Tribolium castaneum: one gene and its partner. The protein of the gene in region 2 interacts with the protein of the main gene of each other region in a pairwise test. Links are inferred from orthologs where the notes say so. Each region holds a gene or a part of one and is shown on either strand. Other genes may lie near its edges.

Evidence for each region.
Region 1: the proteins of Rel (region 2) and grh interact in binary tests that used the Drosophila melanogaster proteins (3 or more experiments, as listed by UniProt). The link is inferred for Tribolium castaneum from reciprocal best matches to the Drosophila melanogaster genes Rel and grh.

Annotation. Positions count from the first base shown.
Region 1 is NC_087403.1:7,765,031-7,769,150, reverse strand, and holds part of grh (protein grainyhead), read left to right. Parts: coding exon 1-408; intron 409-2,765; coding exon 2,766-2,953; intron 2,954-3,139; coding exon 3,140-3,302; intron 3,303-4,120. UniProt on the Drosophila melanogaster protein: Transcription factor that binds a CNS-specific regulatory element of the Dopa decarboxylase (Ddc) gene. Also interacts with sequences adjacent to other transcription units, including Ultrabithorax (Ubx) and engrailed (en).
Region 2 is NC_087400.1:6,389,336-6,393,221, reverse strand, and holds part of Rel (nuclear factor NF-kappa-B p110 subunit), read left to right. Parts: intron 1-2,238; coding exon 2,239-2,377; intron 2,378-2,423; coding exon 2,424-2,528; intron 2,529-2,575; coding exon 2,576-3,107; intron 3,108-3,886. UniProt on the Drosophila melanogaster protein: Transcription factor that plays a key role in the humoral immune response as part of the peptidoglycan recognition protein (IMD) signaling pathway.

The sequences.
Region 1 (4,120 bases), on a different chromosome or scaffold from region 2:
AACAACGGCCACGGGGGCAGCGGCACCCCCTCGCCCACCCCCTACAGCGATCACGTGACGGGCTACACGCAGAGCGGCGCCGGCTACGCCGCCGCCAGCCGCACCGCCACCTCGGCGGCGGCGTTCGTCTCCGACCCGTACTACCGCGAGTACTTCACGGTCGCCTCCGGCGGCGCCACCCCCGAGCCCGCCTACTCGGGGCAGCTGCGCCAGAGCCAGGCCTACAGTGAGGAGGTCGGCGGCGGCACCACCGCCAGTTTCGTCGAGCGATACGTCAGGCAGCCCTACCACAGCAAGGGCGTCATCGCCGCCGCCACCGCCGCCGGACTCACTGTCGACCTGCCGAGTCCCGACAGCGGCATCGGCGCCGACGCCATCACCCCCCGCGACCAGAACACCCTGCAGCAGGTGAGCCAGGCAGACCCGAAAACGCCACCCCCAAAAATTTTCACTCATTTTCCTAATTTTTACACGTGTCGTTTGATAACCACGAGCGAATAGGGGATTTTTTTTTCCTTATAGGCCAATTTTCTATTGTAAATCAAAAATAAAAAAGGTAAGGACTACTTTGCTTTCTATGCACAGAGAAAAGCATTTTTTTAAATTTTGCTGATTGCGTTTATTTCAATTCAATTAAATGTTATTCATTATAAGAAAATTTAATCTTGGGCCAAGTAAACTGAAATGTTTGATGAAAGTAGTACATTTATGTCATGAAAGTTGATCTGTATTCAATGCAAAATAATTTTGAATTAAAGAAACAGTTTCTTAAATCAATTTCAGTGTATATTTAATTTGTAGTTTGTTAAATTCAGTTTCGATATACGGAATTCGATTTCCAGTTAAAGATATATTTGTTTGCATTTTGGCCCTTAAATGTACCTACATTACATTGGAGACGGTACTGAACTAAGCATAATATAGAAATTTTTTGAAAAAATTGAAAACTCGTAACAATGTTACGTTAATTTTTTGTTACAGTGAAACTTTTTTTTTTGCAAAATTTTGCAAAATTTTTCTCTCCTATCAAAAAATTACCATTTAAAACAAACAACTTGATAATTTTACTAAAAGAAAGATTTTTTAAAGGAACAATCAATATAATTGAAACTACAAATAATTTTATAGATTCAAATAAATATATGCGAATTTTGAACAAAGTTTTAATGTATTAAAAGTGAATATTTCTTTAAAAGAAAACGAAACAAACAAATTAAAATTTTCCGTAAAGGAAATATATTTTTAAATGGAACAATTCAAGTTGTTGAATTAAATAATTTATTGATTGTTTGAAATTATTGATTATTGAACCAAATAACACTTTTGTGTATTGAAAGTAATTGTTTTTAAATGAAAACTAAAGTTTTATTTAAAATTAAAGAAATGTTGTTTTATTTTAATAAATTATGGTTATAATAAATAAAATTAAATAAAACTAAAGAAACAAATTTTTTCTTGCCCATTTAGAACCAATAAATTTCCTTGAACTAAATAAATTTTATTTGAAACAAAATATTTTTGTCTCTGTGTAGGATTTCAGAATTTATTGGTTTTCTGGAACGGTTTAGAAAAACTGGGTTTTTAGCTCAAAATCTTACACTGAGCACTTGAAAAGGAGAAAAACCCCCGTTTTCGACTCAATTTGACAAATTTTCAAAAAAATTCGCCAAATAATTGTGTTTCGATTTTCGTGACTTAAGAGATTTTTTTGCTTTCCTTTGCCGTAAAGCTCTAAAACCGTAAAATAATGTTTTCGGCGGATTTAGCAAAATTTAAAATGTACTGACTTTTTCAATTGGGTAATTTTTAAACGAAACTTTTGCGAATAATAGCGTTTTGGGTGAAAAAAAGTGCTAATATAACACAGAAATGATAATATCATATGACTTTTGACACAGTTTGTTAATTTAGATAAAATCTAAATGTTCGAAAATTCGCCATTTTTATCAATTTTTGAGATTTTCCGGTTAGTTTTTAGCGAAATTTCTCTATACAACTGTGTTTCTTACTTAAATTTTGCCAAAAAGGCACAATAACGTGCCTGTTTTTTAATTTTTAATTCAATTCACTGTTTTTTAGAATGTTTGCGAGTTAATCCCAGACTTATGCATTTCTAAAATGCGAGATAAAACGCCTGAATAGGCAAAACTTAATATCATTGTGACTTATTGGCTTACTTCAAACAAAATTTTTCAAAACACCGTTCAAAAATGGTTAAAATTTAGTAAAGTTCTAAGTTTTGACGTTTGTTAACTTTTGAAAAATGCAAAAGTAACATAAATTCGACGATTTTCTGCATGGCTTTGCAACGAATAACCCTAATACATATTGTAAATTAGGACGTTATGTTTCAAAAATGGGCTTAAGTGGTTGCAAAATGTAATTGCAATTGTAATTGCATTACAGTTCTATTCTCGGATACCCTATCCGCCCCTGTTAGTAATAAATTTTTGAAAATCGCAAGGTTGCGAAAACAAATTAGAGGAACATCCTTTGGGGCCAGGTGTGCCGCAAGGTTCAGCTCCGGTCCCCCGCTTTCGCCTAATGTCAAATCTGATGGTGGCAAGTAACGCAGCCGCCATTTACTTGTATCAAAACAAAGCCATCTGGCATAGTCGTGTTATTTTTTCCCAAAATGGGAGCAAAAGATTGAAGATTTGATGTAAGTGCATACATTCCGCGGTTATTCCCCTTGCGATTCCGCCAGTGGCATTAATTGCGTCACAGTAGTCCTTATTTGTCGAAGGTATCCGAGGTCGTAAAAGTGTCATTTGTTTCAGAACTACGAGTACCCAGAGATCTGTCCGAATCCGAACATTTTGGACCCTTTGACGATTTCGCAACGGAACAGCTCGAGTTCGCAATCTCCTGGATCTCAATCGACGAGTCGAAGTCGGCCTTGGCACGATTTCGGCCGTCAAAACGACGCCGATAAAATCCAAATCCCAAAAATGTGAGTATTTGAGGAACAGGAAAGATCAGTCGTCGAATGACCTCGCAATATGGTCCACTGCCATGAACTGGATAAACTCGATTCGAGCACAGTGTCACTTGATACGAGTGCCTTATGTCACAGTTGTATTACTATCAGAGAGCCTGTTTGACTACTCGCAAATTTGACAAACGGCAATTGTTCCAGATTTTCGCCGGTGGGCTTCAAGTACCAGTTGGAAACGCCGATTTCGACGTCGCAGAGGCGCGAAGACGACAGGATCACGTACATAAACAAAGGCCAATTTTACGGAATTACTCTAGACTACATCCCAGACCCTGACAAGCAGCTCAAATCGCAAACAGTAAAGGTAAGAACACAATATCTAGAACAGGGGCGAACGCTCACTTCAAACGCGCGTTTTTAATTAATCTCGGAATTAAACAAAAGCTCAATCTTGCGGACCTCGGACAGAAAAATCGACTGATTTTTGCATGTAATGAGCGTGCCGCCCCGATATGGGATGGTCTCCTTAGTTAATTATGGAATTATGAAAGAATTAACAGCCAATTACTGGCCGGGAATTTGGCCGAAAAACTAGTCTCGTGACATCGTACCTCTTATGGTGATGCCGTAACGACTTATCTCCACATCTAACGCATGACGAATATCTTTCTAATAAGACCGTAAAACCATACGCACAAACACTTGACAACGGAATTATCCCTAATTATACTAATTAACACTCGACTTATTAATCACGCGGAATAATTACAAATAATAACGCTACACTTATCGATTACATTGTAACAGCACTTAATGGATGCATTCTTAAGTAAATGAACTGTCAACCCTCGCTAAGGTCGTAATTTAATGTGCGCAAATTACGACCAACTTATAATTTGACCAAAGTCCGGACACTATTCTTTTAATTGACCGTTTTTAATATCAGAGCCAAACACCATTATTAAAAATTATTACTTCACTACTTTGTCATTATTTCTACCCTTCGAACCGATCACGCAATCAACTTTTTATCGATCCAAATTTCAGACAATTTGCGCGGCACAAACAATAATTAATCATTTTTTTAATTACTAATCACCGAAACAGAAAAAACCCTAGCACTGCCCAATCAAGTTACGTTATTTCATTGCGAGAATATCGAAATAAATTCAATTATAATTT
Region 2 (3,886 bases):
TTGTGACGTCGCAAACTGAAAGAGTGCAACTTTAGTAGTGTGAGAATTGCAAACACGAGAGTTGCATCTTTCTTTATAAGTGTCTGTTGTAAGTATCGAAAATTAGTTTGAGACAAAATGAGGTGAAATTACATAAAAATATTTTGATTGAAGACAAAACGAGGTGAAATTACATGAAAATATTTTGGTTGATAAGATTTATTACCTAATCGGAATGACTCATGAATGAAACATGTGTAAGTTACGATTTGATGAATCTACACTTACAAAATTTAATATTAACACAATAATGAAAAATACCAGCTTTGGGCGTTTTTTTACAACTAAATAATTAAATCGTGATCGGAAAAAGTAGATTTTACACCGACATAATGATGATAACAGAGTATACACGAGTTTCGCAATGGGACGTTCCAACGCTTTATTAGATATAGGATTATATTTTAATCTGATTTTTCTCTAACGTCACGGTCTCGTATTTCATTGTTTTAGGAATTAAGTTAAATTCCCAGCTTTGTTGAAAAGTAGGAATCTGTATTTGATTTCTTCATAATTTTTTTATTGTTCCTTAAAATGCAACAGACATCTACAGCAATCATGCTTCGTATGAAGTAATTACCGTGCCATTAAAACACGAACGAGAACGCGTCGCAAAAAGTGGCAAAGCGGCGTGAAATCTCGGAAAAAAAATTAGGTTTTCACTCGTGGTGTAATAATCCACTCGTGAAATAAAGCGTCCGATTTACACTCAAACTCGTTAAATAATAGTATTAGCTAATGGAATTTATACTTTCAATGAGATATCTAATCATTAATTTAAAAAAATAATTCGGTAAAATGCGTTGGCGTTTTTATAGTTTTGAAACAGCTGATATATTACAAAACAAGTTTCATAAGACCAGTTTTAAAGCACGAATTCAGTGTAAAAAACGAGTGGCGTCAGTTTTTTATACTGTTTTTTGTAATTTGCACCCTTTTTGTCGTTTTTGACCAAAAGTTGTTATTTTTGTCGATTTAGGGATTTTTGTGACGGTTGGTAATATCCCAATTTTGAAAGTGAAAAATTAAATTAAAATTTTTGTTTTATTTAAATTCTGTCAAAAAACACGAGCATCAAAGATTATAAAGGTAATATAGCATGAACGCTTCTTGAAATTTGTGAAATTAGAAAAAATACGGTCTCGAATTTGCTTCCTGCCAACCTAAAAATTTTCGTAAAATGTTCCGTCAAATAATGACTGTTATGACATCGCACTTAATGACATTTAATATGCCTATAGTCCATTTTTTATATAATAAACTGTCAATGTCAAAATTCTGATAAAGACCAGACTGTATCACCCTAAAAGTTCATGTCCAGCCACTTTTGAAACTGGCTGTATTCTGTATTTGACATTTTGGACATCAGATTTGACATTTTTGAAAATTGGACGTTAGAAAATAACTAAATGTGTTGTTGTACGTGTTTTAAATTGGAGACAACTTGTAAAATTTGGAAACTGAATTTGGCAGCTAAAAAATTACATCAACCTTATTTCAAAAAAATTACTATTCATGATAGTGCCAACCTGACGGCTTTAAGACAGTTGATTATAAAAAAATCGACTATATTAAAGCATCAAAATGGCGGCAAATTATACAAGTATTTCGTGTTTGCTTTGGCAAATCTTAAATAACGCGCCAAAAGTGTATTCGCCAATGAGAGCGTCGCTCGTTCAAATGGACCAATTACGGCGAACCACATTTGTGATAACAAAAATGGCAGTGTGACGCAATTTAAAAAAAATCATAGGATTGAGTTTCGGTTGCAAAGCCAAATTCTTTATGGTCTTAAGGTTTTGTGTGTAAGTTTGCATTATTTATAAATATTTTGTCTGTATTAAGTAACTCTGACTCATAATATTTGCTGATAAGTGATAAAAGAAATGTAACCACGATTCAGATAACCGGCTGAAATCGCATAAATGATAACACAGGTTTTGATTGCACTATAAAGAATAACCGACACTAACCCCAAATTTGCAAATGTAATACCTTACATTTATCAATTTTAAGGTTGAGCCATGTGTGTCTGGTGCGAGTTGAGACTCGCTCAAGTCAGCGAATGCGACCGTAAGTCTCTTTACCCAACCCTTCGTAATAAACATATGTGGATATCTTCACTTAAACGTTTCAAAACCCACAGTAGTCGAGCCCTCGAAGCTATCTGTCATGTGTTTATCCCACTTTTCCTTTCAGATTAAGGGATTGGCTGAGGCTGAAAGCAAATTCATTAATCTGAATGTTGTTGTCTTGCGATTTGACGCTTTTTATGAAAACAATGGGATACTACATCCTATTTGCCCGCCGGTTTATTCACACACGATCAATAACTTGAGTAAGTATTGACTCAAATTTTCGGGTTTTTGACTCATTTTCTCTAGAAAGCGCCCTCACGGGCGAATTAAAAATCGTGCGAATGGACCACTGCACCAGCCCTGCGAAAGGGGGCCGAGAGGTGTTTATTTTAGTCGAGAGAGTCACCAAAAGTGAGTCAATTAATTGTGAAAAATTGTCAATTCATTTATTGGTTTAGAGAACATTAAAATACGCTTGTATGAGTTGGACGACGATGACAACATCTTGTGGGAGGATTATGGCCGTTTCAGCGACTTGGACGTCCACCACCAGTACGCCATTGTCTTCAAAACGCCCCCATACAGAGACCCCAACATCAAATCCCCGGTTAAGGTTTATATTGAGCTCGAACGGCCGTCCGATCGCTCCCGAAGTGAGGCGAAAGAGTTCACTTACACCCCCAGTTCAAGTGTTTATAAGCCGGGTGCCAAAAGAGCAAGGACGAGTTATGACACTAGTTACGATTCGTCTTTACCTAGTGATGAATTACCGCTACCGATCAATAATTTATGTATCGATAACACGCCAGGTTTGCTTGATGATGTTCAGTTAGAAGTTACCAGTGATGACCTACAACAAGCGATGACTAACATTGATTCGGAGGAGTTTCGTCGATTGTTCAATGAGTTTGGACAAGACTATTCATTGGTGGTGGATGCACCCTCGCAGTATCCCAAAAAAAATGCCCCCAAGGGGGGTAACAAGAATAGGTCAGGATTGTATACTTTGTTTTTTTATGAGATTTTTGAGCTACTTTGCGCCCTCTGGTAACGATTTTTTGCGAAAATATTGCATCAAAACATTGGTAAGAGACTACAACATGACTATAATACTAGTCAGGATAGAAACTTGACCATATAATTTACCTGTCATTAAGTTTTTAATTTTGGTACCTTATCATGAATAAAAACAATTAGCGGTTATCATTTTATATATTTTTCATGATTTTAATTTCCTTACCACAATCTGAACACAACTGAAATGTCAGTGAAGTCGCTAAATTTTTTACATTCTAATGGCATACTAAGTTTTATCGCCCGCCAAAAACTAAGTACTTCTAGTTAGATAAGAACAAATATTTATTTTACATTTAATTTTCAAACGTTAATTTGTAGTTAATTTAAAAAAAAACGTATGTAGGACGGAAGTAACAATCGAACTAATTTTTGTTTCATTATTGGTATTTCACAAAAATTTAAATGTAAAATATTGAAACCAGCTCAGAAAACGAGCATTTATTTTTTTTTTCAAAAATCTAGGAAAGAGACTACCAAAATAATTTTAATGTTGAACTTATTTTAAATATAAATGAAAGTAATCATCTTGAAAGCCCTCTGGGTTTGCTTACTACATTTTCTCTAATGAAAAAATACATAATTCTTTTTTATTATTACACTTTCACTGTAACATACATTGTTTATTATTATTTCTCATTTCATTTTGAAAAAATATAAATTTTGTGTTAAATGGTTTAATAAAAATTGCGATA